Linked DNA regions of Schizosaccharomyces pombe. The gene in region 4 interacts genetically with the main gene of each other region. Each region holds a gene or a part of one and is shown on either strand. Other genes may lie near its edges.

Region 1 (7,848 bases), 1.3 Mb from region 4:
TTCAAAAGATAGTAATTTGACCGAGGAGATGGACCTCCAAATGGAAGCGGTTTAAGCTCGAATTGCTGTGCAAGTAACCCTTTTCCTATGCCAAAAGTTGATTATTGAGTCAATTGCTTTGATTTGTACATTATAAAAACGAACCGGCTAAAAGGACATCTTTCATCATAACCCCTTACTTTATATATAGATGCTCGTCAATTTCCATCGTCTTCCTTCTTCTACCACAATCGTACGAATCGTACCAAAAATTAAAATTTGCAGCAGACAGATTCATATTACCTTGCAAGGCCAAAAATTTATTAATTTTATTTTTTTTATTTATGTTTATAAGTGCTTGTTAACGAAAGAGATATTTTGTTTTTGTTTCTGGCATTATTCCATTCTATTCCTACTACAGTGATCATAGCAATTAACAATACATCATCACTGTGCTCTTGTAATTTGATTGAATCGTTTTTGACACAATCTTTCATTCTTTAAAATAAAATAAATTTATATATTTCTACATTACATTCTTATTTGTTAGGTAGAAATGGGATTGGGATTTTCTTCGAAAAAGCAATTACCTGCCTACTGTGGTCCCTTGCCTGTGGGGTCTTTAGTCTTAGAGCTGAGTGTTCCAGAGGAATTTCGATGTGAATATAAAACCATTGAACACAAACTAAGAACCGTAAAAGTACGCATTTTTTATCCATTGGACCCAACAAAAGATGTAGAGCCTCGCACCGATGAGCTTTGGTTACCATTCCATGAGGGTATACCCGAAGTTGCGAAAGGTTTTCGTTGGTGGCTTCTTCGTGCGTTCGCTTCTGGTTTGACCAACTTAGCTTTGCCCGTCTACAAAGGAGAGTTGTTTCATCCACCGAACAATGGGAAACTGCCAGTATTTATCTTCAGCCATGGATTGGTTGGCTCGAGAAATGTGTATTCTTCGTTATGTGGTACAATCGCTTCCTATGGTATCGTCGTCTTGGCCATGGAGCATAGAGATAACTCGGCCATCATATCTACAGTGCGTGATCCATTACATCCTGAAGAACCCCCGTACGTTGTTCAGTATCGCGAGATAAGCGACTTTTATGCAGACGCTACGGTTGTGCTTCAGAATGAACGACTTTTATTTCGACAGCAGGAAATCCAAATAGCCCTCCAGATGATTCGAAATATCAATGACCTTGGAACTCCGGACGAAAACTTACCCTTTCTTTGCTCTGTGGACTCTTCTTTTTATAATTCTGTTTTCCAATCCATGAAGGGTAATTTGAATACCGCTCAAGGAGAATTGATTGTTGCTGGTCATTCTTTTGGTGCCGCTACTTGCGCATTCATTTCCGGTTCTTCTACCAAGTCCTTATATAATGACTATATGTTTCACACTGAGTTTAAGTGCTCCATTTTATACGATATATGGATGCTTCCCGTACGCCAGCTCCATTTGAGTACGATGAGGTATCCTACGCTCATGATTATATCTTACGAATTTCGTCGGTTTGTCGACAATTTTCAAGCTCTCGAAAGTTGGCTTGTAAACAAGGATTCAGAAAACCAAAACGCAGGCGAATCCGCTGATGAGAAAATGTCTGTCGTTCCTTTAAAAAAATATTCCCACGTGTTTGTTTATGATGGAACAGTACATGCTAACCAAAGCGATTTACCGATTTTGCTCCCTCGCATGGTACTAAGGGTATTGAAAGGAAAATTTGAAGCAGACCCTTATGAAGCTTTACGCATTAATACTCGTTCATCTGTACAATTCCTTCGTGAAAATCATGTTGAAAATGTTCAGGGAGATAATGATCCTTCGTCGTTGCAAACAAATATTATTCCTGGGTGGGAAAGAATTATGTAGTATTTACCACTTTTACAAAGAGCTAAAAACTCTTAAAAACAAAACTCTTTTGACTTTTCTTGTCTTTTTATCTATCGCCGATGCTAATTATAATATTTATTGACTGTCATGCTAATGAGTTAACTGTTTGGCACAAATTTCTTATAGCTTATAAAGAAGATTTTCGAAAGCTTACCTGTTAATGTGGATTGAATATGGTAACTATTACTTTTTGGGAGCCTGTGCTTAGGACCGCGATGATTAAGGACGAACATTTACGCTAAGTGTGTGATTTTGAAAAATTTAGACTAATATTTATAATTTGTAATATGTCTTATATACTGATAGATTCTTTTATCATTTTACATTATTATTTATTCAACAAAATAATTTACCAACCAATTACGAATGAAACCACCATTAATTATAGATACAAGGAAATTCAATGATTATTAGCGGATATATGTATCTAGTTGTTGCACAGTTTCAACAAACAATGCTCTTTTGTCTGTTCAACATGAAGAAGAAATGACTTGGGGTTTAACATAACCATAAAAAAACAGAATATATAAATAAAATGGAGTGGAAATACATCAGAGCAGGCTAATTGCCTGGAAAAACATCAAAATAAATAGCTTCAACTGAGATCATCATATCCCATCCAAACATAAAGTCGGTCCATTACACCAGCACAAAAAACTGAAGCCAATATTGGTGAATTGCAAAATCAGTGCTACAAACGTCACTTGCATTGCACTAAATCAAATAGGCATTCGTTGCTCAACGCTTTAAGGCAATAGTACAATGAATCAATAAGCATTCGAGTATCTTAAAACAAAACAAACGTGGCACAAAACATCAAAAGTCCTTAAAGATAGAAGTAAATTCAGGATCTTCAGATGTTCCATAATCCGTAGCTACATCAGCATAAGCGTCAAATTGACTGGAATCACCCATTCCAGCTTGAATGGGAGGAACATACGGAACCTCAATTTTCCGAGTAAGGATCTTGTCCCAGCTGATATCACGGAACCAAGGGTGCATAATAATATCCATGCTACCATCTTTCAAATTTCCATAGCGGCAGGTTATGTCTCGCTGAAGTAAATGGCTCAACAAATCAATACTAGCAGGAGAAAAGTACGATGGATAGTTGACCTTGCCTTCAAGGATATTCTCATACAACTTCATTGGATTCTCAGAGTAAAATGGAGGATAACCCGCAAGCATTTCAAAGATAAGAATACCAAGGGACCACCAATCTGCAGCTTTGTTGTACGGTTTTAAAGATATGATTTCCGGGGCTAAATAATCGGGGGTACCACAAAGAGTACAACAGTTGCTAGTAGAGACGCGTTTGGCAAAACCAAAGTCCACAATTTTCAAATGACCAAACCGGTCAAGAAGAAGATTTTCGGGTTTTAAATCTCGATATACGATTTGATTGTGGTGAAGATAATCAAGAGCAAGGATCACTTCTGCTGCATAAAATTTGGCAACTTTTTCGGGAAATCGATGACATTTACGAAGCAAAGAAAAAAGCTCTCCTCCTTCAGCAAAATCCATGACCATAAACAGATTTTTGGCATCTTGGAAAGTACCCCATAGAATGGTAATGAACGGGTGTTGGACACGGGATAAAATGTATCTCTCATCGCAAGTGTGCTCTATTTGCTTCATATCAACGATTTTTTTCTTTTCTAAAACCTTGATGGCGTAATACAGGCGATTGTGATTCGACTGAACGAGATGAACTCGACCAAACGAGCCAGTGCCCAATGTTTGTAAGAAATTGAAATCTTGTATTCCATATCGATCTTTTGTGGTGTGGTCAGCAGGACGAATCCTTCGACGCTGTAAATCGAGCAGCTGACTAACCCGAACTTTACGAATATGGCGATCGCGTAGCCCATCCATAGCTGACCGTCTCTCTCCGTGTTCTGAACCTAGTTCACCACGACCGTCCCGCGAATGTCTTTGATGGCTGCTTTGGCTACTACTTCTACTCGCGCTTTCAGGAAGAGGTGAAGGGATCAAATTATCGATGTTTTGGTAACCAACAGAATGGGCACTTGCACAGCCAGACGTACTGGTGCTAACCAAGCTGTCGGGTTTTTTGCTTTTCGTGGCCTCTTCCAAAGCTTTAGGGATGCCCGAAGTCCACAGACTTGATTCATTATGGTTATTATGACCATTGCTTACACTTGCATCACTACCAACAGAATCATGAACAGAGGGTTTGCCATTAAAAGAATTTGTTCCATGTCGCTGCTGTTCCGAATATTCATTAACGCTGCCGGCATTCATAGATGGATGCAAAGAGGCACTTGTAGATAGAGTGTCAGTTGAAGAACCCACGTTAGTACTTCCTTTGGAAGCAACGGCAGTCGTATCCATGAGTACAAATGTGAAATAGCGTTTATACACGAAAAGATAATTAAAATTCACTAATCGTTCGTCAAACTTATAAAGTACCCGAAAACAAGAATAAGGTTAAAAGAGGTCGAGGCAAAAAGGTCGTTACCTTTGAACAACCTTCGAATATATGTATATAAACCGCAACAATAGCAGTAATCTTAGAGTTCTTTTTTGGTGCGCTGCTTATTATAGCGAAGCAAAAATAAATAAAGAATCAGCGTAGATAGAAAGAGCGAAATTTACTTCCTCTAAATAATTTATTAAAATAAAGAGGACAGCGGCAGAAAAGAAACTATTTTAAGTGAAATTCCAGTCGCTCAACACAAGTAAAAACCCAACAAGAATAAAGACAAATAATACTCGTTTGCTCAATCAATCCGGGCAAACGAAATCCTTCAAAGTAAAATTGGAAGCAACTTAATGTCTAACAAACTGTTATTCCAAAAGTACAAATGAACACGAACGATAATTCGATACACCTGAGACAAAAAATAAGAAGATAAGCTAAATCGACTCTGAGTCCTTCAAAGATAATCTATAGCAGACAAAAATAGATAACAATAGTTATAGCAAGCGTTCAAAAATACAAATTAACATAAACCGACGTTACAGATTCACGGTTTTCACAACAATACTGAGCCTTTCACTCTTAGCGCAGAACCAAAGGTGTATTAAGTAAAACTACAAGTCTTTTTGATACAGAAAGCTTTTGTAGAATTAGCGGCTTTCGAGAAACGAGCTATTCACACTTCCTATGCGTTCGCAAGCTTCAATTTGTGTTTTGCTAACGAAAGAAGTGTTGTGTCATAGGATGCAAGGTTGAAGTCATGCCCTTACTACCCCTCAAAAACGAAGGAATTTTTAATGAGGCGAATAATCGTACGTAAATTATAATAGGGGAATTTAATGTAGATCGTTACAAAACTTCAGCATCTCAGTGCATGTCGGATTTAAAGACTTCTATTTAAATTTTAAGATTGAATTCGTCAGGTGGATTTAGATGGTTTAATACAGTGTATTAATTATCGGGTGTAATTCATTAAATTATAATATTTGGAACCGTTACTCGAAAGTCATAGATTCGAACATCAAGAACTTATGTAAACAGCATACAACGATATAGTGTTAGTTAGTAGCTCGAAGTGTCATGCTTAAATCAATTAATTAACGAAAGGAGGGAAAAGATATAGAAAAAGGATAAAAAAGCTAATCTATTTTCAACGGCGCCTTGAGACAGGCGGTATTACCCCTTGAAGAACCATGGGTGCTTAGTAGTTGTCGCAATAATATTCTTTTTACTTTGCCCAGTGAAATAGTTTGAGCATCAGTATTCCAATTAACAATTTATTATTAACTTCGATTTCCTTTTAACAAACCATTATTTGAAGATAGCTATTAATCATGATCGTGAAAAAAGTGTTGCATTGGATATGCCACCTTGTATATTAATTGAGACATTAAGGTATTTATACAAGTCGTTAATTTTAAGGGGTTCTATTTTTTTAAACTTCAATTTTCCTTTTGAAGGATTGATATGATGGAAAAGATTTTTGGAAACCATTCAGCCCATTAGCATATCATATAATTAATAAACGTAGTTCATAATTATACAGATTCTTCATTATGATTATGAGAATACACATACTCCCATACTCTCAAACTCAAATCTTCTACCAAATCACGAGAAAGGAAAAGATATTGACGGGAGTGAAACTTATTCAAGAGCACACCAGTCCAACAAGACTCAAAAAATTGTAACAGTATTTGCAAACTTAATAAACGGTCTCTAGTTAAATTATCAAAGTCCATAGACAGGAGTAATTTAACGCCTAGAGAAGTTTTATTATTTGATTCTTGTAACGATGCAACGTTTAAGGGGCTATTCGAGCTTTGGAACAACCTGCTTGTTTTTACCAAGTTCCAAAGTGGGCTTGAGGTATCTTTAAGCTTAGGGAATAGATTAAGTGGCTCTTCTTTTGAACTTGTTCGGTCATAAGGCATCAGTGTCAGTGTTTGTGATTCCCTTAATAGTTCACGGTAATCACTGTTATTGTCCAAATCAATTTTTAAATTCCAATACTTATCACCCAACGTCGACACTGAACTAATGCTATCGTACGGCGGCAAAAGTATAGGCGCTTCTAGTTTTTGAACTGCGCCGCTTTTTTGAACAACATTTAATGGCACTATGCATGGCTGTTTGGTATCTTGATTTCTCGGGATAATACAACGTTCTTCCACAGCTAAAGCCCACAAATTTCGAGCAGCTTGCAAATGTGCACGATTATCTTGAGTAGTCCTGGGAAATTGCGGATAAAATGATATTAACAAAGCCGCGATTGCTAAATTACTGCGAGACAAACTATACCTTCCTCCACCTAGCGAAAGAATTCCGAGCGCCATATGAGTAGCCATTTGAGCCCCGTAGTTCACAGGCTCCATTCTCCCATGTAGTACTCTTAACCTTCTCAAAACATCTAGATCACAATAACCCGCCATAACACAAGAAGAAGACAAAGCGACAATTTGTGTACAGCGAATTACAGTCACTGCAGTTACTCTTTCATCGTGTGTTTTAGCAGGCAGATGACACAACCGAATGAAGCTATCTAAAAAGTTGATGAGAATTTCCTTGGCTTTCGGATTACCCGTTCCAGCAAACCTTAAACCTAAAGAAAAACAAATCCCTGCTAAGACATTATAAAGCAGCAAGTCGTCAGAAGAGAGAACCTTTTTTTCCTGTAAATCAAATTGTGAGAGCATTATATCAGGAATTTGATATTTCACCCATTCATAATCTGCTTTGACTTCATCCCACATAATTAAGTTTTTACCGGCAACTCGCAAAAGTATTAGATCTGGACGATAGAAATCAAGAAGATATCGCGATTTAGGAATATCAATTTTTTTCGCAACTTCCAAATCATTAGTCTTCATATATATCATAGTCAAAGCCATAATGGCCCCGGGAGAACCGGCTTCTAAAGACTGAAATGTAGCCTGACTAGATATTCCCACTTGTAGCCTTGAAACGAGTTTTAAATCAGACATGCCTGGAAGATTAGATCCTCTCCCTAAATTAATTAAACCAAGAGAAAATCCAGCAGCTAACTTATAGCCTTCATTCTTTAGTTCGCTTTCATTAGAAGCCAAAATCTCTTCCATGGTCACTTCAGACATGCGTCTATGACACGAATCATGAAATAATAAACCAATTCCTAGAATTCCTGCAGTCTGAGTTAATGGTGAAATATTCAATTCATTAGATCCAACTGGCAGTAATGCTGAAATGTGCACACTTAGCAATTTTGTAACCTTTGCATCCATACTCCCCAAATACGAGGATGCAAGTCCAAGTAAAAGGCCTATACTGGTTGTATCATGCTTGCTAGTAAGATAAATAAAAGAATGCCAGGTAGCAAGGGCCTTTAAATGACCGTTTAGCCCTAGACCAAAAAGAAATCCCGCATGGTAAGCAGTCAAAGTTTCAGGTCGATTGAACATAATCCAACTAGTGTTTATTTCCTTTGAAAACTTAGATATCGATAATCCTAATGCAACGCCAACATTAAACTCTGGCCACTCGGTTAATTCCTGTG
Region 2 (6,375 bases), on a different chromosome or scaffold from region 4:
AAAATGATTACGATTGTTGTTTACCAAATGGAGTACCGCGTCTGAGTGTCTGTTTTTAGATTCGGGAGCATTCTGCTTTATTAACTTACCAAGACATGAATATACTGATATATAAAATGTGCTAACAATTTTATAGAGTACAAATTCTGACAAGAAACTCTTTAAAGCTATAGAGAATCGGTGTCAGGAGGATCTATTTGCATTATCGAGTAGTAAATCACCGGAATATGCTTTCAGCCTAACTCAGCAAAGTCCATTTGGGCCTCTTGATCAGTCCTCTTCTCGTCGTACCTTTATGTACATTGTCGCTACTCTTAATGCCTCTTATCCCGATCATGATTTTAGTAGCCTCCAACCAACAGATTTTTACAAAGAGCCTTCACTATCTCGTGTTGTAGATTCCGTTAATTCTACACTTAATAACATTGGTCGTGGTAGATTGAGTGTGAATGGAATTTGGGAAATTATCGACCGTCATATCAACCTGTCTGATTGCAGCGTTTATTCCTATACTCCAGATAGCGACAGCGATCCTTACGGCGATGATGCTTTAATATGGGGGATGTCCTACTTTTTTTTTAACAAAAATATGAAGCGCATGCTTTATTTATCACTTCATGGTTTGGGCAAGGAAGTCTCGGGTCGGAATCGTTATGGAAATGACGATGATTCTGTGTTTACACCACTTGCGGACGATGCAGAGCCAAGCGATTTTGATGACGATTGGGTTGCTAACATGGATGATTAATTTTTTGGTTATTTGGGAAGTAATGGTTTCTGCTACTTTCTCTTTTTCTCTCTTTACATTTTGTTCAACTCGCAAACTAAATTGCACCGTGCTCATTTTATTATTTCAGAATCATGACTTTTCGAAATTTTCTTGTTTTTTCTAATTGTAAATACATGAAACCTCACCTTTCTTTAATATCTCCCTGTTAATTAGTTTATTTCAAATTATTTATAGCAACCCTTTCTTTTTTGCATTTTTGAAAAAAAAAATATGCCCCCAGCATTTTAGGTACTTCTTGTTTTTTGTTTTTTATCCTTTAAGGAACCTATTTTTTCACATGTGATTTGTACGTTAAGATTTTCCAGACTGTACTACGGTTTCTACTCTCTTGCAACACACGTGTTTATACATAATAGATTAAAAAATTTCCAACAACTGTTTCATAGGTTTGTACATGCAATTTGACCTTAGAGGAAAATTTTTTAATCTGTCCTCATTAATCATCTGAGCCTAACTATCTTTAAACGTTCACATCAAGTTCCCGAATATTTGAAGCCTTATTAAGCATCATCTTGACATAGCATAATGATGTATTCAGTTATTCAATTTAAAAATTACCTTTTCTTTGAAAATACTTCATTTACAACAAATAAAAGCTATGCATTTACTTAAAAGATAAAGAATTAATTTCATAGTAGTTGTATTTAAGGAATTCAAATTACCCTAAGAATTGATGCTTTCCTATCATTTTACCCGAACATGAGCTCTAAGTTGAGTAGTAAAAAATAGAAATGTTGAGTGCATAATTCAAATGTTGAATACTTGTTCTACCGTGCTTCATGATAGACGTTTACTTAACCATTTCCATCATGAAAAGAAATAAATAATAAAGAGAAAAAAGGAAGCATTGATGAAATAACCACAAAAGATTCTTTAAAAAGGACATTTCCGATATTCGCAGACGAAACAAAATAATGCGTAAAGCGAAATGTCTAAAGAGTTATGATAACGATACACATCTAAACCGACGAACAGAAAACGTATTTGCAAGACAGTTGAGCGATTACTTAGTTAATGAATTAAATCAAAACAAGCTTTCTGTTTTTATCACTTGCCGTAAGTGCTGAAGAATGAAGTGGTAACTTGAAATTAAAATTGATCAACCACATAAATTAGACGCTGATAGACAAAGCCGCAGATTAGTAAGAGCGAAAACGCAGCCGAGAAAATGTCACAGGAAACTAGGATTGATTGGGAGTCGTTAAAGCCCCATATATGATGCAAATGAAATCTATAGTAAATTTAGTACACTTTTTAACCGAGAAGTAGGACCCAATGTGAAGAAAAAGATCAAACCTATAGCCATAGGGCTTGACGCAACTTATCCAAAACGCGCGCGTCTTCGCTACAGGCAACTTTCTCGACAAGAATATCATAAGGAGCGAGAAACTTTGGTGCTTGAACAAGCGGTGGACCCGCGTCTGGATACAGTCCATATGGAATAGTGATACGTGAAAGGTTAACATCACTACTTGGCGTGACTAATGAAGGATCAGGGATAGGCGAAGAATAGGAAATAAGGTGAAGTTTATGATTTAAGGAGGTAGTAATACTAAAGGACTGCTTAATTAAGCCGTTCGGTTTGTAATGCAACCCCCGTAGGTTCTCATCATCAACCGACTCTTCATCACTCAAGCTCGCGGCTCCACTGTCCTCATTGCTGTAAGCATTTAGGGAACTATTACCAGTCGTATCTGCAGAGGGAGAGCGTTTAAGGGAACCATCGGTGGAAAGACCGTGATGGTAAGGTTTACGTTTACCCTCCATTTCTCGGTAGGTTAAGAATGAACCGCTGACACGAGAAGCACTCCATGATTTACCATCAGTCCAACGGCGCATTCCAGCTTCCCGTTCATCCCACACAAAAACACTGCCTGCTCGTATCAAGCTTCTTTCATGGTCGGACAATCGACGCTGGACGCGTGGAAGAAGACCAATTCGACAGGCCTCGAAAAGGATAATCGCATCCAACGGGGTCTTAATGATACCTGTATAAGTTTGCATGACGAAAGGCAAAGCCGATCAGATCGTAGTTTGAAGATGAAGTAAAATCAGAAAATAGCTGTCACGAAGATTCAAAAAAAAAAGCGCACTGGATTAGTTACCAATGCAAAGATCAAAAGAATCAACTAACGAAGCTCGGATTAAAGAGAAATAAAATAAATAGTTTTATAAATATAAGTAGAAGATAAGTTGACTGTGCGTGTATATATACAGCTTGACCGATAAATGGGTAGTCGAGTAAGTATACAGGAATGGAGACCTTCAATAAATTATGCAATTCAGTCCGAACGAACGCAAGATCTTAGGAAATTCAAGCAGGGAAAAATTAAATCTAGATATTATCTTCAAAGAAAATTCAGTTGCAAGACTAGCCGATTTGATTACCTTTTAGTACTTTCTAAAAGAAAATGAAACAATTAAACGGCAGGGAGAAGCAAAATTCAGAAACAATGAAGGAAAGTAAAAATTATTTAATAAATGATTTTCTTTCTTTTTTTAGGGAGTTATAATAAATATTATTATTCGCGGTTTCAACTGATCGTCAAAAAAACACCCAAAAAAAACAGACTTGACCAAAAAAACTTCCAATCAAGTATTAAATCTTTACAAACCCAATAGCTCACTTGTATGTTAAAAGCAAAGAAATTTAAATTCAGCTTTTTTAACAATGCTCAAGGTTGAAATTTGGCAATAAGAAACGTCACAAATAGTTAAAAATGGAAACAGTCGAAAAAATCAAGATAGATCAAATTTTTTTCTCAATGAAAAAATTAAACGAATCCGTTCACTAAAATAGAACACCTTTCTACACCGGTTCTCTAGTTGTGGTAAAAAAAGGTCCCTAAAAGTTCTTTGCAAAGGAAAAAGCTAATGTACGACAAGGCAAAGTAGCTGTTCTTTGGTTTACAATGCTTCAATCATACAACCGGTACAACTTCACTTGCTGTTAGTTTATACACAAATTTGCTTAATTTAATTTTGTTGTCCAACCTTTTTATTCGTCAAAAAGACGCTATTCGAAGGTGACAACGTTTTGCTGCTTAATGCAACACTGCGGTTGGTGAAGGAAAAGTTGAGTCAAGTAGGTTGAAAGATAGTTTATATGTGCGAGGCTTCGGTTATGTTAGCGAGTTAAATTTTTAAAACTCAAAAAAAACCTAATACGGTAAATATTCCGTAAATCCCTTACCCAACGCTAATCCCGATAGTTTTAGGCTGGTCTAACAATTTAATAAATATAATTATTTAGTTTCCGCTGCTAGATAAGATTCAAGGTAAACTTTTTCCCCAACACTGTTGATACGCCTTTAATGATCAACAACAAGATTACTTTGATTATCAAGTACAAAGTACAATGGAATATATTTTCAATCCAACAACTGCGTTCAAAACCAAAACCTGCCTTTCCAATATTTGAATTTTGTTATTCTTTAGTAGGGACCGGTTCATAAAACCGTTCGGGCCATTTCTTTTCCGACACTCAATTACTTTGGGATGAGTTAAACAGATTTAAAAATTTCAAAGATTTTCCGGCCCTTTCAGTTGTTAGTTGAAATGCTAAAATAGAATGTCCAAGGGACTATCAAAGAAATCTCGGACCCCGAACTATACTTATTTTATTCTTTTTTTTTTTTGAGTTAATATTAGCCGATGAACCGTTGAACGTGACTTGTTTTAGTAGAGCCGTAGCAGTGTCGATTGTTTCGTTGGCCACCACCAAACCATTCATTTTTGCATCTATTATCCGTCATTATCAGGGATGAAGTAAGAAATAAGTTAGTAACCATACGATCCATGCTTAGATATTAATTAAATAACGAATATACATTAAAAATTTAATAAATAAATAAGCGGAAAGGCTCGGAATGAGGCTGGTTACAATGCACACGTGCATGTTGCAAATACATCGCACTTAATCGGATTAAGGTAGACGAGAGAGGATATCAGGTAACCAGCAATTGGAACAAGTATGAAAAGAAAGTAATTTAGATTGGCAACAGTATGTCGAGAAGTAAAATGATTGATGGGTTCGCAAATGAACCTAAATCAACAGTATCCAGTATGTGGAGAGGAACCAGGTGACTCACTCTTCTTCTCCATTGCTCTGCCATATAAACTTTAATGCTGCAGAATTCTTGTGTAGGTACGTTTTGCAGGTAGACGGGTTCGGTTGCTCTTGAAGTGCAGTCCAACTATTTTCGCCCCTGTCGCAAAAAGAGATGAGAAATATCATTATATTGTGTGGGAAAATTGAGACAGCCAAGAAAAACATTCAATATGACCTGGGCAAACGTGACATACCAGCAAAAAAGATATTTTTTGACTATTTTTTCTTGCGCACTTATTAACGTTTCGTCTGCAATATTTGTTATTATACGTCAGGAGGAAGACTTTTCAAATCTGTAATTGCGATTCTCACACTCTCACTTAAACGTGTCTTTTTCCAGCCGCGAACACTCGCTACCAAATTTGTGGCTTGCGCTCTCAATTCCTCCTCGGACCATTTTGGCATTTGCTTGACAATGCCTTTCCAATCAATGGCATTTATGGAGATTGCTTCTCCGCATTGCCTTTGTACATGTTCTAGTAGTTTTAAACTATCCGCGACGTAAAATTTGCGTTTACCCTTTGATTTCTTCTTTTTTCTCTTCTTCCTTTTCTTCCCTTGATCCTCCTCTTGACGTTGGTTAGAAGAATAAGATGCGATTGTTTTTTCGTACTGTTTTCGACAGCTTTCCGGCGACTTAGTCCCAAGCTTCTTCGATATGCTATGCCATGCAATGGAATCAGATGCCGGTATTTCCCGTTGTATGTTTGAAGTAGTGTGATTATTGTGTGTGAAAAGGCTTGTCATTTTTTTTGTGTGAAAAGACGACCGGTAAGAAGACTTTACCAAGTCTAATAGCTTTGCTTCCTCTTCATTCGTCCATAATTTGCGCCGATCAATTGTTTCCTGAGTACTAGTACCTACAACAAACCTCCATTGACTCATGCACGCGGCAGGTGACGTTCCCAGTTTGTTCGCTATGCTGTTCCACCGCGTTCCCTCTTGTTCAACTAGGGTGTACAGCTTTTTTAGCTCACTTTCCTCCCATGCATTCCTATCTTTCGGATCCAACGGCTTGTAGATTTCCTTCAAATAACGAATAATTCCTTTTCTTGAAATAGAAGTAGGCAGCAATTCGCGTAGTTCGTTGTATAGAAAGTTGATATTTGTATGTCTTAAGCTTGAAGAACTCATCCGGAAGCCAAACTCTTGTAAATCTACGCCTTCATTATTACAATAAGACAAAACTACTTTTTGAATCACTTGTGCGTCTTCTAGAGAAAAATTAAGTTGCGAATCCTCTTCAGCAGCCAAGCTTCCAATGTCTATCTTTTCGTAACCGGCGACTTGAAAAAAAGCACGCATGTACTTTAGTAAACTATTTTCTTTTCGATTCAGAAAAGATGCTACTGACTCTAAAAACCCTTGAAGTCGACTCCCAGCATGTTCGTCTTCCAATATCTCGATCATTTGCTCCCGTGATATAGACCGAATCGTTAACAATTCATCAATCCTTGCTTGAAACCACTTTTCA
Region 3 (9,667 bases), 140 kb from region 4:
CACACACATCAATTGAATCAAAATTATGAAAATATAAACAAATCCTCTTTTTTTTCCTTTTCTTTTTTTTTTCTTTTCTTTTCTTCAGCTTTACATCCCTTTGAATCCTCATCATCTGTGCTTTTTTCAATTCCGTTTTGCTTTGTCAATTCTGCTTTGCTTTGCTTATCAGTTCTACTTTGTCGATTGTGCTTTCTTCCTCTCTCTCCATCGTCAAGCTTTGCCGCCCCTGACCCCTTCATGACAACAGTACGACTTTTATCAAGATAGAATAGAACTGACTGGTCATCTCCTGCATCCCATTTATGTAATAAGGACTTTATCTCTGATTCATATTTCACACACAATGAGCGAAAGGGTTGGTTATCATGGAAGGAAGAAAGAGCAATGAATTGATTACGAGTGGAAAAAATCAAATGCCGCACCTTTTTTCCCTTTTATATATAGAGGTGAAAATCCCTCCATGTGTCAACTCAAAATAAAAGTTGAACAAATTAACATCGATTATTGTTTGCACGTTTTTCGGCAGCTAAATCCCCCCGCCCGCTCCAAGATACTAAAAGTTTGGAAACCATTGTAACATAAAAAGAAAAGGAAAGTTAAAGAAAAAACAAAAACTAAATTGTTATTGTTGCTGTACTAGACTATACTCTACTCTACTTTACTATACTATACTATACTATTCTATTCTAGACTATACTATTTTTGTACAGTCTATAAAAACCATCTTGTATACATTTTTATCTCTACATACGTGGACGTTGATTCCATAAAAACATAAAGGTGTTTTTCTTCCTTCACGAATTTTATTGATGAAGAAGTATTAAACACTTTGCTCTTTTTCCAAATCCCATCCATTGCTCGTTTCTTCAATCACCGTGAAGTTTCGTAGTGATTTTTTTGTGATTTCTTTATCGTATCGCACTGTTCGTTTCGTTTCGTTTCATAAATACATCATTTTCGTTTCGTCTCTCGTCAATTCTATTTGGAAAATCTTGTTTCCTCTCTTTCGAAAACTAAGCAAAAACTTTTTCTAGTATTTCTCTCTCTCAACCATTTTTGGTTTGTTTCTTTTTATTTTTTTGGTGAATCAAGTTTGACTTTTTTTTTTTCTCTCTCTCTCTCTCTCTCTCTCTTGATTCTCCTCCCTTCTTCCCATAATGATCGGTTCCATCAATGAGTCTCCCATCGAGGAGCATATGAATGACTCCCCCTCTACAAAGGAAAAGGCCGACTCCGTCGACATCTCTGATTACATCGTTAGCCATTCCGATGACAGTTTATCCAAAGACATCAAGAAAGACACAAAGTCCTTTCTCGATGTCGAACATGGTGAAATTAGTACGGTTGACGAGTTTGAGGAAGACTCTCCTTATCCAGAGGTTCGTGCCGCCGTCCCTCCTACCGATGATCCAAGTATGCCATGCAACACCATTCGCATGTGGACCATTGGTCTCATCTATTCCACCGTTGGTGCCGCCGTCAACATGTTCTTTTCCCTTCGAAACCCAACCGTCACTTTGAGTGTTTTGATTTCCGAGCTTCTCGCATACCCAGCATTACAGATTTGGGACTTGATTTTCCCCGATCGCGAATTTCGCATTGGACGTTTAAAGTTTAATTTTAAGCCTGGTCCCTTTAACGTTAAAGAACATGCTCTCATCGTCGTTATGTCGAGTGTATCGTTTGGTAATGCCTACTCCACCGATATCATCCTCGCCCAACGTGTACACTACAAACAGCGCTTCGGCTTTGGCTACGAAATCTGTTTGACTTTGGCCACTCAACTTATCGGATACGGATTGGCTGGTTTATCCAGAAGACTTTTGGTCCGTCCTGCTAGTATGTTGTGGCCTGTGAATCTCGTTCAATGCACCTTGATCAAGACTTTACATCGCAAAGACTTACGAAACGCCGTTGCCAATGGCTGGAGAATTTCCCCCTTCCGTTTCTTTTTGTACGTTTTTATTGCTTCATTCATTTGGAATTGGTTCCCTTCCTACATTTTCCAAGCCCTTTCCCTATTTGCTTGGGTCACTTGGATTCGTCCTAATAGTCCAACTGTAAATCAAATCTTTGGTGAATCCACCGGAATCTCCATCCTTCCCATGACTTTTGATTGGAATCAAATTTCCGCATACATTCTTTCCCCCCTCATGGCTCCTGCCGATGCTTTGATGAACATTCTTTTGGGCGTCATTCTATTCTTTTGGATCGTCACTCCAGCCCTTAACTTTACCAACACGTGGTATGGTGATTACCTACCGATCAGTAGTTCTGGTATTATCGATCACTTTGGTAATAGCTATAACGTTACTCGCATCCTCACCAAGGATGCTACGTTTGATTTGGATGCCTATCAAAACTATTCTCCCATTTTCATGTCCACCACCTACGCTTTGGCATTTGGCCTTTCCTTCGCTTCCATCACTTCTGTCATTTTCCACGTGATCCTATACCATGGAAAAGAGATCTACGACAGGTTACGCGATCCACCCGCACCTGATATCCATGAAAAACTCATGAAAGCCTATGATGAAGTTCCCTTCTATTGGTATTTGAGTGTTTTCTTGGCCTTTTTCGGCATGATGATGGGTACTATTTATGGTTGGAAAACGGAAACCCCTTGGTGGGTTATCATTGTCGGTGTCATTTTCTCTGCTGTATGGTTCATTCCAATTGGCATCGTTCAAGCTATAACCAACATCCAGCTAGGCTTGAATGTATTCACCGAGTTTATCGTTGGTTATATGTATCCTGGTCGTCCTTTGGCCATGATGATTTTCAAGACTGTCGGTTATATTACAATGACTCAGGGATTGGCTTTCGCTGCCGATCTGAAGTTTGGTCATTACATGAAGCTTCCTCCCAGAATCATGTTTTACACCCAAATGATTGCCACCATATGGTCTTGCTTTGTTCAGATCGGCGTATTGGATTGGGCTTTGGGTAATATTGATAATGTTTGCCAGGCCGATCAACCTGATAATTACACTTGTCCTAATGCAACTGTCTTTTTTAATTCTTCCGTTATTTGGGGTGTAATTGGTCCCAAGAGAATGTTTTCTGGAAAAAACACCTATACGGGATTGCAGTACTTCTGGCTCGCTGGCGTGCTGGGTACAATTTTGTTCTGGGCTCTATGGAAGAAATGGCCTCAAAAATGGTGGGGTCAATTGAATGGCCCGCTAATTTTTGGAGGTACTGGTTATATTCCCCCAGCTACTCCTGTAAACTATCTGGCTTGGTCTGGAATTGGTCTGTTCTTCAATTATTATCTGAAGAAGATATTCGCAGACTGGTGGCAGAAATACAATTTCACGCTTTCTGCTGCTCTTGATACTGGTACGCAGTTGTCGGTCATTATACTTTTCTTTTGCTTACAGTTGCCTATGGTTAATTTCCCAGATTGGTGGGGTAATGATGGTGCCTTTAATACGCTGGATGCTACAGGTGCCGCTGTTAGGAAACTCGTCAATGAGTCAGCAGGTGAATTCTTTGGTCCCGCCGAATGGTAAAATCAATGCTGTATTTTTTTCTTTGTTTTTTTTTTCCATCTTTTAACAAATGATAAAAATTATAAGCATTGATTTGTATACTAAAGCTTCGTGAATTAATTATGTCTACACTTTCTTTTAGTGTTTGAATATTCAACATCTATGCAATATATATTTTTGGATGATTGATTGTTGTCTATTTTTTTTTACGTTGCATGATTAGATTTGTGTTTAATCAATCGTTCAACAAGTTTATCTCATGTTTATTAAGCTTTCTAATTTGTTATTTTTTATTAATTGTTGTTAGAATTGAATAGTTCGTTCTAAATTGAAACAAACGTTTGCATTTTTATATACGTTTTGTAATGTGAACATCAGTAATTTCATTTTCACTTTTTGTATACATCCTCAATGTAGCGACAAACACTCACTAAGTAAAGTAAATATTGTGAAGGTGCAAATTTTAACTTGATTTCATCTTATGAATGCATGTTCGTATGATAATAGATATGTAAATGACCGATGACAAACCTATTCATTAACTTGATTTATATACTGTTCACGATATTAATACTCCCACAATACACTAAGACTTGTTGATTTCTTACATTAAAGGAAAACAGTAATCAGTTGTTATTAAAAACACTGCTGATTCTTACTAAATAATATAGTTTTAATTATTAAATCAAATCAATCTCATAAGAATGAGTTATAAGTAGTATTCTATAACTCTGCCACATGTGATGAATGGTAAACATTAAGAAAGCGTGTAGTTTTTGTTGTCCAAACGATATTATAGTGAACTAGACACGACAGACAAATTTTATCACTTCATAAAGTACTAAAAGTATGCATGCGGGACGGCGTTCAGTGCAAAATTAAAACAGTAATGGAAAACGGGAAGAAATATAAAAAGAGAAGCCTAAAGATTTTTTAATGTAAAATAAACATATATAATTTCACATCCATAACATAGCTAAATGCATGGAAAAGGGCGTTACAACCCTCAACGGAGGGAAAGTCAAAGGGAAGTAAAAACGTTATTCTTCATTACAACCATCACAGACTGAGACCTTTTCAGATCAAAAACAGTCTAGTACCCTAAATTGATTCTTTGAGCAAGATCACCGCTTCCGATGACACTTGTTGCAACAGCAGCCGAATTACTCTTGGCCACTGGGCAGTCTTTATGAGCAATCAATAAGGTCTTCAAACTCACAATTTCCTCACGTAATGCACTGACTTGTGCACTTAAAATTTCATTTTCATTACCATAAAATTCAACCTTCGCTTGAAGATTAGAAAGCCATTGTTTTTTACGCTGTCTACATTTAAGAGCAGCTTGTCGATTGCGTTCCAGGAAGCTTTTACGTTTCTCTTCATCAGTTTCGTTTTTGGAATTCCGGCGAGATGAACCTTTGCTATACGAAGTGCCGTTGGCAGATTCACTAGAAGCCTTACCATTAATGGAAGAAGTGGGTGAGGATTGATTATTGGCATTACTAGAAGGCTCTTGCGAAGTGGAATAGTCAGTACCATTTTCGAGTTTGACCGGCATCGAATTTGCCGTTGGCATATCAGAATTAGAAGTTTTTTGCGGTAGATTTGTGGATCCATTCTCGGCATTTTGTCCGGAAAAGTCCGTGGTTTGGCGTAATGTTAATGAAGGGTCGGCAGGATTAACTGTATCGCCGTAAACAGATGGCATGCCGTTAAATTGTTGCGACCCCATAAAGTACATAGGCTGTTGCTGAGTACGAGATGCTTGAGGGTTCATTGTACCTGTAACAGCTTGGGGGTTAGTATTTTGAGTAAAAGATGGCCGGATAGAGTCGGGGAAAGTCTGTTGCTGAGTTTGCTTCAGGAGGTTGTTGGCAGTGGTGGATGCTGCTTGATCGTTTTCAGAGGAGATGGGTTGCTGAAGCTTTTGCTGCTGATCGGGAACCTGGGAGAGTAAGCATAACCCATGAACCGCAGCATTGGCACCGAAATAATCAGACTGGTCACCATTCGTCCCATTTACAACAGGCGGTTTACCATCCCTTGGGGTAAAACGATATTGATCAGGAAATTGAGAATCAAACGTATGAAACCCTAATAAATTGGCAGTACCAGGTGAAGGAGCGGGAAATCCAGCTCCAGTAGGGGTTAAAAGAGATCGGAAGGGTTCATTAACACCAGGAGTAAATCCAGTTCCACTAGAAAATCTAGCTGCTGCAGATGCATCTGAAGGATTGTTTAGGTAGTCAGGACGAAGAGTAGCATCATAAATAGCAGGAGAAAGGGGATTATGCATTGTACCACGAGTAAAAGCAGACCAAGCAGGATAGCCCAACGGCGAGGCAATACCTGGAGCTCCACTTAAGATATCAGGTGATGCTATGGAAGAAACAGGAGGTAAGAGAGTTCGCGCAAACGCAGGAGGCACACCTGAAGGAATGTTACTAAGGCTAGGATTACGATTAAGAGAAGGATTTCCTTGTCCAACCGAAGCGGTAGAGCCAAATGAATGCTCAAAGGGGTTGGGTTCGTAATCCAGCTTCAAGGAGCCTACGAAAGACGGAGTTACACCATCGGATTGGTCAGCTGGATTCGCATTAGCGACAGATCCGGCCCCTCCATTAGGAGCGATAGTTGAAGACTGTTGATTCTGCTGAGAATTGTTGCTTGGTGGTGCAAATGAATCAGATTGATTGTTTTCCGGAACCTGAGTACTGGAAGCAGTAGCATTACCATTTGAAACAGCGGCAACAGATGCTGGTTCTGTGGAAGTATTGACGGGAGACGGGGACATAATTGAAGAATTTATGCTTTAACACTTGACAAAATGTATTAAGAGATGACGTTAAAAATCACACACGCTTAAATAACGAAAATAAATAATTTAGATATATAGATGAACCCGTTTAAAGAGAAGATCGAAAATAGTTTTGTCAAAACTAAATAAAAAAACAACTACAAGAAATTAATGGCTTTCCAAATTTGACAAGACAGAAGTAATAACGGCTGATAAAGCAGAAAAAATAGAAACTATATTGTTTCAATAAAAAAGAAAAGAAAAAAAAAGGAGGAGGAGATTAAGGAGATAAAAATACAACTTTCTCGAAAAAAAAAGGGAAAACCGCGACGGAGGCTCTAGACGAGAATTAGTTAGATGTCTGTACAGGCAAAGCTAGAAGACTAGATATGCAAGATTGTGAAGGAAGATATTCTACAAAGGGTAAAAAAAAACTCGCAAAGGTAATAGTCAAGTTTGTAAAAGAACATGTCCAAATAAAATAACAAAGAAACTAATAAAGAATTACAAAAGATAAAAGGGATGTTCCTACTCTTTGTTCTTTTCCTTTTCTTCGTTCGATCGTTTTTGTTAGGGTGTGTTGATTTGGATTATATGAATGTGGAGGCCTTTTTTGAATGAGTTTCAGAACTTAATGTGAGAGAGTACAGTCAAGCGTAGAGTAATAAAGAGATTCGTACTTCAACAGCAAATACACCTGCTAAAACACCCGTTTTTCTTTTTTGGAAATTTTTTTGCCAAAAACGAGACAAAACGGGTTTTCCGCTCTTCTAGCTTCCTTTCTACTCTTGTTCTCTTCCCGTGTGCGTTTATTCACTTCCGAGAAATCATTCATCAAAAGTTGCCACCACATAGATCCCAGTTCAGTCAAGGCAATAGTAACCTACAATGGTAACAAGTAAAATTTTCTAGCACAACAACACCAAAAAAAAATTTCCAAACCCTCAAAAAACGAAGGAATTCCAAACACATTTTACGTTTCCTGTAAACTAACAACCCCATAACGATCAGTGTTATTGATAAGAAAGCGTCATACTCGTCATGTTTAGTAGGGTCAATGACGATAGGAGCAAATTTTCAAATTTTCATAAAAATTCGGTTTTCAACACAACCCGTCACGTTTTTATCACGCTCTTCCAATTTTACAGCCTTTTACATAATCAAACTTCACAATTGCATGTATAAACACATACCTATTTGACTTAATCAACCAAACGTACTAGTAGCAGGTCGTCGTCATGAACCAGAGAATTCGTAATTCAGATCCAACTAAGCGATGACTACTGTATAAATGATGAAAAGACTCGGTCAACTGTCCAAACTGAAATTTACAAACAGAAAAATGGTTTTCGTCAATTCAATCGTTCAAAAAGTGCTCAAAGTAAACTTTTTAGCAATTTCCTAAGTAGTTTCTTTCTTCTTATGTTGTAAGTAAAGGGTAAGTTGTAAATTCCTAGTGCCACACTTCCACCTGTTTCAAACAGATGACGTCATTGCATCACTTTGCATGATTGAACTTAACCAATCACGTGCGGGGCTCTGAAGAAGGGTAACAAGGAAATGGGTCTGGAATAAACCGAGCAAGACGATACTTAAAGTACTGCTGTGTAGTTTTGTATTTTGTGTTATCGTATCGTTAAGAAACGTATCGATAGTTTGGGGAATGGGAAAGGATGGACGGAAAGTAGGATGTTATTGGTATATCATGGAGTGCGTGCTTTTTAAGCAAATATGATGTTAGCAATATGTAGTAAAAATGGTGAGTTTGTGTATAGTGCCATGAATCTTATTTCACTCTTAACTCAAGCTTATTTTATATTAACCGATGAATGAATAAATAATATATCTTTGATGAAGCTAAATCGTTGCGTGTATTTCTGATATTATGTTGTATGTAGGTAAGTGTTTTAGGTTGGACTTCTGCGTGTTTGTAAGATGTGTACGTACGCTGAGTAATTAGCAATGTATGAATAGATCCAGCAGTTCCAGAAGACCTACGAAAAAATAAAATAAAATAAAATAAAATAAAGTAAAAAATAAAATTAAAATAAAAATAAAGATAGGTTATACGCAGAAATAATATACAAGTTTCAAATATTATGAGTACTTGTCACGAATTCAATTATGGAGAATTCTGTACAGTAGGATCTTTCAAAAAGTCTTTACATAGACTTAGATTGTATATATAACATACCAACCCTTACAACATTTAAATAACAGTTTTAATAGCTAATTCATTTGTTTTACAATGAAATCTTTTGCTTACATTTTCGGGAACTTATTAGTCAATACGGGTTGGCATTTTGTTGGGATTACGGATCCGAAAACTACCCAAAAGATAAGCAAAGAAAATGAAGTTTTTTAAAAACAAAATAAATTTGTATTCGTGAAACATAAAAGAATAAAAAAATTAAGTTAGAAACATTTTATGCAAATCATTCCATTCAATTAGCAATTGTGATGGAATTGGTTATACCAATAGATATTTTACACTCATTTTAAAACAATTAAAATTAAGTGAATATATTTGTGTGGTGTGTACTGAGTCAATCATTAATGCAATTAGTTATATTAATAAAGTTCTTTTTGTTTGCGATAACTTTCGTCTCTCTTTTTTTTTTTTTTTTTTTGTTAATTTTTAATTTTTTTTAACACGGCATCTTTCTTCACGAATTTCCTAACTGGAGCCATCAATATCGTAGCGTACACAAATTTCCGTTAAAGCATTTTAAATTGCAGTAAGCTACGTTAAATGAATGAACGAAAGCTAACCCCCGTTATCGGAGACAAACCAGCCCCCTCCTACAGAAGTTGCGCTGCACTGCTTAAAATCCGCACTCGAATTGTATAAAGTAGCTTTTTTGTTTATAACCCGTTTCTCCATCTACCATATGTCAAAGAATCCTCTTGGAACGTTGGTTGTCCGAATATGGAAAGCTGTAAGTCTTAAAAGATGAAGATTTGTTTTGTAAAACTAACGTGTCTTCTTTAGAAAAATTTACCAAACAAGGCTCTAGTGGGCAAACAAAGCCCTTACTGCGTTTGCAGAGTTGGTGAGGTGGTAAAACGTACGCAAACGGATAAGAGAAGCGGTCAAGAACCATCGTGGAATGCGGTACTGGAGTTTAACATTCCCAGTGAATCTTATCATATTATGAAAATAACCGTTTTTCACGAGGGATTTCGAAAGCATCCACACTTGATTGGTGATACTGTATTGTCTTTTGAGAAAGCGATGAAAGAAGAGTTACAAAGTGAATGGTATGAACTAAAAAATGAGTTCCAATTTGCTGGCGAGCTATCTGTGCAATTCAAGTTTATCCCCACTGATCCTCTATACTTTGACCGTGCTTCTTCTAAGCCAGTTTTACAA
Region 4 (7,566 bases):
CGGATGTAGTGGGCAGCGGCGATGGAACCGGCAATGGAGGCCTTTTGGCCCTCGTTGGAGGATTCCTTACCAGCAAAGAAGTGAGCACCACCGTTGGAGGTTTGCAAGATGATGGGGGAACGAGCCTCACGAGCAGCCTCAAGAGCAGCAATAGCAGTGGAGGAGGAGGTGACGTTAATGGCAGGGATGGCGAATCCGTGCTCACGAGCGTAGGTGAACAACTTTAAAACGTTGTCACCTGTAATAACACCAGTAGGTACAATATCGAGAATTCCCATTTTGCTAATTTGTGTGTGTGTTCTATACGACCTTTGGAAGTATGATACTGCAACAGTAGCGCGCAACCCTCTATTATATACCATGGAGCCGGAGTTGGCCTCGGAAAAACTTCTCACCTGATGTGCATATCGATACCTATCCGGTCCGTGGTTACCACCAATCACCGTCCCCTGTTTTAGGGGTTGACGTCAAAAGAAGTTTTTGATTTCTTCCATTTACCATCCCCAATCCCCCCGATAGCGCTCTGCATCGAAGTACGCAATTCCGTTCAAGAACCGTAACACGTTGCGTGGTGTGTGTCAAGGCAAAAGGAAGCGGCGGCGGCGGTAACCAACTCGTTCACCCGATGCACAAACACAAACAAAAGAAACATTACCAACGTAAACATAAATACAAACCTAAGCATTAAACATTTATAAATACAAACATCTAACCTGCCCTATACTATTCATATGTCTATTTCATTTCTATTCATTTCTTTTCATTAATTTCATTTCATCTCCTCTTGTCTTGTCTCGTCTCGTCTCGCTTCTCCATTCTCCCAGCCATCCCTACTTCCCAGTTTGAGTGATGGATTTTTCTACTCAACCAACTTGAACCAGCCAACTAAACTAATGCATTTCTTTTGTTATCACAGTCTGGCCGTCTCGGTTCGGTTCGATGGTGTTGTGCCCACACACCCCATCTGCATCTTCGGTAGTATTCTTATTTTATAGTTGTCGCCTGGGTCAAATGATCAAGAAATGCAAGGCAATTCTTCTTCCAAGCATGCTTGAATTAGCTTTACCATCAATGTAAGAATAGACACTTTGCACCGCATTTCATCACTGTCTTTACACAAGCAGGTATGTGAAATGAAAAGTATTTTTGGACATATACAAAGTGCACAACTAAGTAGCTCTCTCACGTATTGATGATTTTCCATGCGTCCGACCGGCATTCGTTTACGGGAGTATGAATTTCGTAAGTGGTTTGATTGATTGAATGCTTTATCATTTTTTGGTTATCTAGTACCACTTGTGTTTCGCTTGGCCACGAGTAATATTAGTCCAGCAATGAGGTGAGAGAAGAGATCATCGTTTGTGTACATAACAAGAGGAAGAAACATTGATAAAAAGGAATTGAGAGAGTGGAAGAGGATGAGACTTGACTAGAAGAGTATGAGACTGCAGTCACTGTCAAGTGTTGCTATTGCTGAGACTAGGAGACAAATCATTCTTACTATTATTAACTCTCTTGTTTACTTGGTAAATTTCATTTCATGTCCATCCATTCATTCCATTCCATTCCACATCTCCACCCATCTCACATCATGTCAAGCTAATATTTCTCTGCTCAAAATCGTTGGTCTGCATTGTCCATTCCATCGTCGTGGCATTGCATCTCTGAGTGTATGTGTGGCATTGCATTGGATTGCGTTTTCATGCTCGGTCATGTGTCACTTTGCTTGGAGTTGCGCTTTGCCTTGTTTTGTCGATTCATTTTTTCCATCCAATTTCTTCCTTCGTACATACGCTTTGTTTACGTTTTCGCTGCAGCTCTGGTCAGGTAACGATTTGCAAGGCAACCATTCCTATTTAGCAACCCCGACACGATGACCGATATACCTCGTTACCTAGATGGGCTCGGTTGATGTCAGCGGCACTTGAACCCTTCGCTACGGATAACAATTGGATTACCGCAGGGAAATGGTTGGAACGGATAAACTCTTGTTGTTAGAGATAAGCAAAATCTTGACGAATATTGTTCCTCGCCTCTTTGGCAACGCAACGCATCGATATAACGATGTAGGGCAATGCACTGTAAGCGGGCTATGTGAGGTTAACGTGGGCTTGTGAAATGAAAGGGAGAGCAGAGGGAAATGGAGAGAGAGAGAGAAAGAGTAAGACTGCAGACGCTGGATAAGTAGCATAACGCAGTGTAACTTGTAACATCGTAACACATCGAGGATAACATATAGACAAAGCGTCGTCGTAACGAATATATAGAGAGAGTTAAAAGACTAGGGTATAATATGTTTACTTGCACGCTCTACTAAATAATAGGTATAGCACGTATATCCAAGTTGTAACTACAGCTATGTACAAGTACATCTCATAGCACAATATACACATATATAAACACATTATGTGGTACAGCCTGTAGACTTTTTATATTTGATAGCATGGTTTGTCGAGTTGTAGGTTTTATTTATTTATTTATTTTTTTAAGTAGACAGCATAGTTTGTGTAATTGATTTTCCATCCATTAAGTTTATTATCCTACTTTTTCGTTTGCACAGAATCTCATTCACTAATACACTCATACATACACACACTTTTTCTTACCCAATCCTTTCTATTTCATTCCTTTACTCCTAGCATTCTTTATAGAAATACATATTCCACTTCATTCACCTATTCATCCATTCATCATTCATCTATCCACTCTATCTTTCTCATTCCTTTCCATTCCTTTACTATATATGCACTACAACTTCATATTCTTATTCCCTAAACAAAACCATAGTGTTCTTCCTTTGCCTCTCTATTCTTTTCCGCTCTTGTTAGCTCTTCACTCAAGCTGACATCCCTCTTCCAGCCCTCCGTCTAACCTTTTTTTCTCCCTGCAAATTAACCTTTTTGTTTCACCATCTCACCATCTTCATCTCGCCTAAAAGGTCTCGCATTCGGTTTCGCCCAAACATAACTTACCGGAACATGCCACCTGCCATCGCTACTCTTCCTGTGGTGTACGGATGATGGTAATGATGCATTCCGTACAATACCCCAAAAAGCTATGAGAAAAAGGTTCCCTATTCCTTTCCAAATTTACTTTTTCTCCCCTGGCGTGGCAAAGTAGCGTAACTCTTCCTATTCCATCTACTAGAACAACTCTTTCGCGTGAGTTACAGTCCCGACCTTCCTTTCCACTTCTTTGTTTACTCGCACCTTCACGCCCTATTAGAGTAAAAAACACTGCCAAAAATTTTATACTATCAAAAAAACGCCATTTTTGTGTACTGCAAGAATCATTACGGTATTTGTAAATTAGCTTCCAAAACGGTTAAACTCTATTAACAAAACACACAGATAACCTCTGTGTACAGCCTAATAAAATTCTCGACCTAGTTCAACTTTCCTATGCCTATCTAAGCTTAACGAATTTTAGAAGCATTGGTTTTTTAAAATATAGCGTTATCTAAAACAGAAAAACTGTATCATCTATTAATGCAACCTAAAGTAAAAAACTATATACATATAAATTTATGAATTTTGTTACAATGTTTACTACATACACTTTACATTCAGTGGAAATTCGTGTAAAGATAATAAATAACAAAGTTTAGTAAAATTTGTCCCCTTACAGGAAACTTATAATTGTATTATTGCTATAATTTAATTGCATCTTCAAACCTAGTTTTCTAATTTCTTTCTCTATCATCCTTTACTAAAATATATCTTTACTTAACTTAACAATATCTTTATTTTTGAAAATATTGTCCAAAAAATATTCTATATACACAACGATATTTGATATAATAATTGCTTAAAAATATCAGTAAAAATATTGTAATATTAGAATTTACAAGAAGATATCTATAAATTTAATTTAATATTTTAACTTTTAACAATATTATTACAAGTTATGAATAATATCCTTCTATCTTCGTATTCCAAAAGCTTAGTTTGCTTTATCTCTTCAACATTTCGAGTATAGCGGTGATACAATATGACTGCATGCTTCATGCTCTAAACTCTTTAAATTTACTATTACAACCGTCGTTAAAACGATCCATTCGTCTACCTTTTCTTTTTTTTTTTTTTAAGTATATATTTATAAAAAAATTTTTGTTTTAAAGAACAAACCACAAGCAAAAAAAATTCATCAATGTTGTTAACAGAAAAAGATAATGCTACCATCATAATAAACATATAAAAAAGAAGAAATATAAGTATAAAACAAGTGCATAAAATGTTAGCTATTTACACAATGTTAAAATTCAAATCCCGAGAAATAATTATTGGGGCAGTCAAAGCCCTCTATAATGTTTTGCAGTAACCCTGAACAAAACAACGTGCGGTAGCGAATATAAAAAAGAAGCAAGTAACTTTAGAGCGATTTTCGAGATGGATCTACGGCATCAGCAGCACGACCAACTGGTGCAGGATGCAAAACGAATCCAGTAAAAGGTATGGGAGTCAGCGGAGGTTGATTAGGATAACCGAAAATTTTTGCATTATTCGGATAGGGTGTGGGTGTAATAGGCATATATGAGTTAGCATTGTTATGGACAGCTGCTGCCGCCGCTGCGGCAGAAGGCCAGAATGATTCGGTTGCATGAATAGGTGCTGTAAGAGGTGTAGTCGGATCTACTTTAAGTGAAGAATTTGGTGTAAGGACTTGTAAGGAGACAGGGATCGTTGGAGTAGCACAATGATTCCAATTACTTACAAACTGGGGAGTCGGAGGCCAGGGAAAGCCAATGTTTTGAGTCGGCATATAGCCTTGATGAGGGTAACCTTGAATTCCTTGTTGCAAATTCATTTGTTGCTGTTGTTGTTGTTGTTGGTATGCGAGATAACGAGATGAAACAAGGGGAGCAGGTCGTAAACGTCGTGTAAGGTTCTTACAGTTTGATACTAGCGTGGAAAGTTCGGGTAATGTGATTCGGGTTTTGGGATTCCTATCAAAAATTCGATTGAGTAGAGAATTGAGCTCTCTACTGATGGGTAAAATGGATAAAAGGGTTGATGGATTGTGAACGTAGGAACGGTAAGTACCATCAGTTTGAGAACATGCACGCTTCCAAGGGTTCCTCTTACAACACAGATTAATTAATATAATTCCCAGAGCCCAGACGTCATTTGGCGCTGTAGCAAAGCTGGATGATTGTGATTCTATAGGTTCAGGAGTTACCGGTAGCATATCTGACAGCGAACTAAGTTTTTTCACCTCCCGTTGACATTCTGGAGACATGTAAAACAGACTACCACATCCAAAGTCACTTGAATAGGGTTCTGTAGTAGCCAGACCAAAATCAGCTAAGTATACGGTGTTTACATCATTTCCAACCATAATGTTTTCGGGTTTAAGATCTCGATGATATATGCCAACTGAGTGACAATGTTCAACAGCAGAAATAAGCTGTAAAAAAACGGTTTTAATTAAATGACTATTCCCTTGATATACCTTTTTCTCCGTGATGTAAGTAAAAAGGTCGCCATTCGGACAATACTGGAGAACGACATAAATGGCGTCTTCCGTTTCTAACACGCGGTGCAATGTAATAATATAAGGATGTGAAGAAACACGAGCATGTAAGGCAAGTTCGCGAGCTTGTAACTTCTTCTGCTTTTCATTTAAGCCATCCTTACATAAAGCCTTTACTGCATACAAGGTACCGTCGTAAATGTCTTCTGCTTTGTACACGACACCATAAGCACCGGCACCGATGATAGAAACAAATCGTAAAGAATCACCCAAGACCTGACCCAAAAGGAGTTCTGGATTTTCGCGCATCATCTAATGTTTAGTAAAGATAAATTAAATAAAGTCCCAATTGATGGCGAAAATTAGATAAGAAAATAGAAAATAAGTATTTCGGATGATAAAGTTTTGAATAGCTTAAAGAACTTTGCAACCGAAACAAAAAAAAAACTTTGAGAAAGGTTAGATTTTCTAATGTCTTCTAAAATCAATGATAAAAAAAACAAAGATCGTTATAAACAGGAAAATAGTCAATAACACAATGATAGGTTTTATCTTGATCGTTTGAGGTTTAATAATATAAGGGAATTTACAAGAAAAAAATTTTTTTTTCAATTGTAAGCAGGTAAAAAATACGACAACGAAGAATGAAAAAGAGAATCGAATACGCCAATCACAGAGAAAACGACCAACATGCAAGAAACAAAATTAATAAAGAAAAGGGGAAATGCAATTGTGGAAGGAAGAGTTAAAACGAATAATATATAATGTTTATGATTAAAAAGCACAGGTCCTTTTGAGTACAACGAATGGAAGTGAGAAGGGAATGTGAATAAAAAACCGGGAAAAATGATGATTAGTATTTTAAGCAGGGAATAAAAAGTAAGAATGCTCAAGATAATCAAAGGAAACTCTAAAGATCAACGTACAAACAAGACACACAACGATTTTCCAAAGGAACAGTAAGAGAAATCGGGAAAATGTACAGGTCAGTAGTCGGTTAAAGATGGGGGAGAAAAGTAGAATTAATTTTTACCTAGTAGTATATCCTTTCCAAATTGAGGTAAAAATGAGAATAGAATGTTCGGTTTAAAAAGAAGAGAGGGGATGAGAAGGAAACACAATCGACAATCAACGCTTGCGAGTAAGTCAATAGACTTAGGTGGAAGAGTTGGACTGGGGAAAAAAGAGATGAGTTCACCTAATGTCAATAAGTATGCACAGCAATATGGATTTGTGAATGTAAAATGAAAAAATCGAGTAATTAAGAAAAGCCGAGAGAAGAGAATTCTTGAAAAGTATTTTCATCAAGCACAAAGGAATTTACAAGAAATCGTTCAGGGTAATTCCCATTTACATTGGGGAAAAGCAGAGAAGTAGTAAGTTTGGATATGGAAAGAAGTATCTATCTCTAATCGAAGAGGCTAGGGGAAAGAACAAAGAAAGGAAAAGCAGACGCGAACAAGAACCAAAGACGAAAGTGAAAAAGAATAAATAAATAAAACAAAAAAAAAATAATAAATTAAAAAAGAGGAAAAGGAAACGCGACTCAAATATGACTAATGCTCGTCGCGATGAGAAATAGTGATTTCTTTGTTAGAAAAACGAGTAAGATGGAAACTTTTAGACACGGGAGATGATAAGAATCCAAGAGGAAGAAGGGAAAACAAATGTAAAAGAAAACGAGGATGGTGGAAGGGAGGATATTAGTAAGAATAAAAAATGGTGGTTAAAGAAAAAATAAAATCCAAATTCGACAATTCAACGTTTGTTTATAGAATTTCGAAGTTTTTAATTAAAAAAAAAATAAAATAAAAAAAATAAGAATACAATCCAAACTTGTGTAGAATGAATAAAAGATAAATTTTTTAATTTTGGTTCGATTTCTAATCAGATAAAAGTAGTGTTTTCTTTATTGCTTTAACACAGTAGACAGCCGAACAACCTGAGTAAGAGTAATCGCGTTAATGACCAGGGGATATGAAAGCTGAAATCGAAATTCTGGAATTGTGGTTAATCACCCACAGGATCCAGCAAGCAAGAACGCTTTTCTAGCTTGCCAAGAAGAAAGGAGCAAGTGCAGAGATGAATTGTTGA

Evidence for each region.
Region 1: of pat1 (region 4) and pka1, extra expression of one rescues a mutant of the other (dosage rescue), as found in Schizosaccharomyces pombe (2 studies listed by BioGRID).
Region 2: of pat1 (region 4) and pac2, extra expression of one rescues a mutant of the other (dosage rescue), as found in Schizosaccharomyces pombe (2 studies listed by BioGRID).
Region 3: of pat1 (region 4) and atf1, a mutation in one rescues a mutant of the other (synthetic rescue), as found in Schizosaccharomyces pombe (2 studies listed by BioGRID).

The regions. Positions count from the first base shown.
Region 1 is NC_003423.3:393,372-401,219, reverse strand, and holds pka1 (cAMP-dependent protein kinase catalytic subunit Pka1), read right to left. Parts: upstream 4,229-7,848; coding exon 2,690-4,228; 3' UTR 2,263-2,689; downstream 1-2,262. Other genes in the region: tho4 (THO complex subunit), read left to right, coding at 1-55; plg7 (1-alkyl-2-acetylglycerophosphocholine esterase), read left to right, coding at 536-1,852; cut4 (anaphase-promoting complex platform subcomplex scaffold subunit Apc1), read right to left, coding at 5,855-7,848.
Region 2 is NC_003424.3:3,002,557-3,008,931, reverse strand, and holds pac2 (cAMP-independent regulatory protein Pac2), read right to left. Parts: upstream 2,795-6,375; coding exon 2,087-2,794; downstream 1-2,086. Other genes in the region: RNA polymerase III-inhibiting protein Maf1, read left to right, coding at 137-748; RNA polymerase I termination factor, Myb family Eta2, read right to left, coding at 5,166-6,375. UniProt on the Schizosaccharomyces pombe protein: Controls the onset of sexual development, by inhibiting the expression of ste11, in a pathway that is independent of the cAMP cascade.
Region 3 is NC_003423.3:1,544,285-1,553,951, reverse strand, and holds atf1 (Atf-CREB family transcription factor Atf1), read right to left. Parts: upstream 7,736-9,667; 5' UTR 7,488-7,735; exon of another isoform or gene 7,092-7,487; intron 6,633-7,091; 5' UTR 6,292-6,632; coding exon 4,591-6,291; 3' UTR 4,090-4,590; downstream 1-4,089. Other genes in the region: plasma membrane OPT oligopeptide transmembrane transporter family Isp4, read left to right, coding at 1,161-3,518; contractile ring-membrane anchor Fic1, read left to right, coding at 9,186-9,233, 9,287-9,667.
Region 4 is NC_003423.3:1,681,079-1,688,644, reverse strand, and holds pat1 (serine/threonine protein kinase Ran1/Pat1), read right to left. Parts: upstream 5,785-7,566; coding exon 4,372-5,784; 3' UTR 4,090-4,371; downstream 1-4,089. Other genes in the region: fructose-bisphosphate aldolase Fba1, read right to left, coding at 1-278; protein mug124, read left to right, coding at 1,440-1,877. UniProt on the Schizosaccharomyces pombe protein: This protein is a negative regulator of both sexual conjugation and meiosis. It phosphorylates mei2. It blocks the onset of meiosis until conjugation takes place.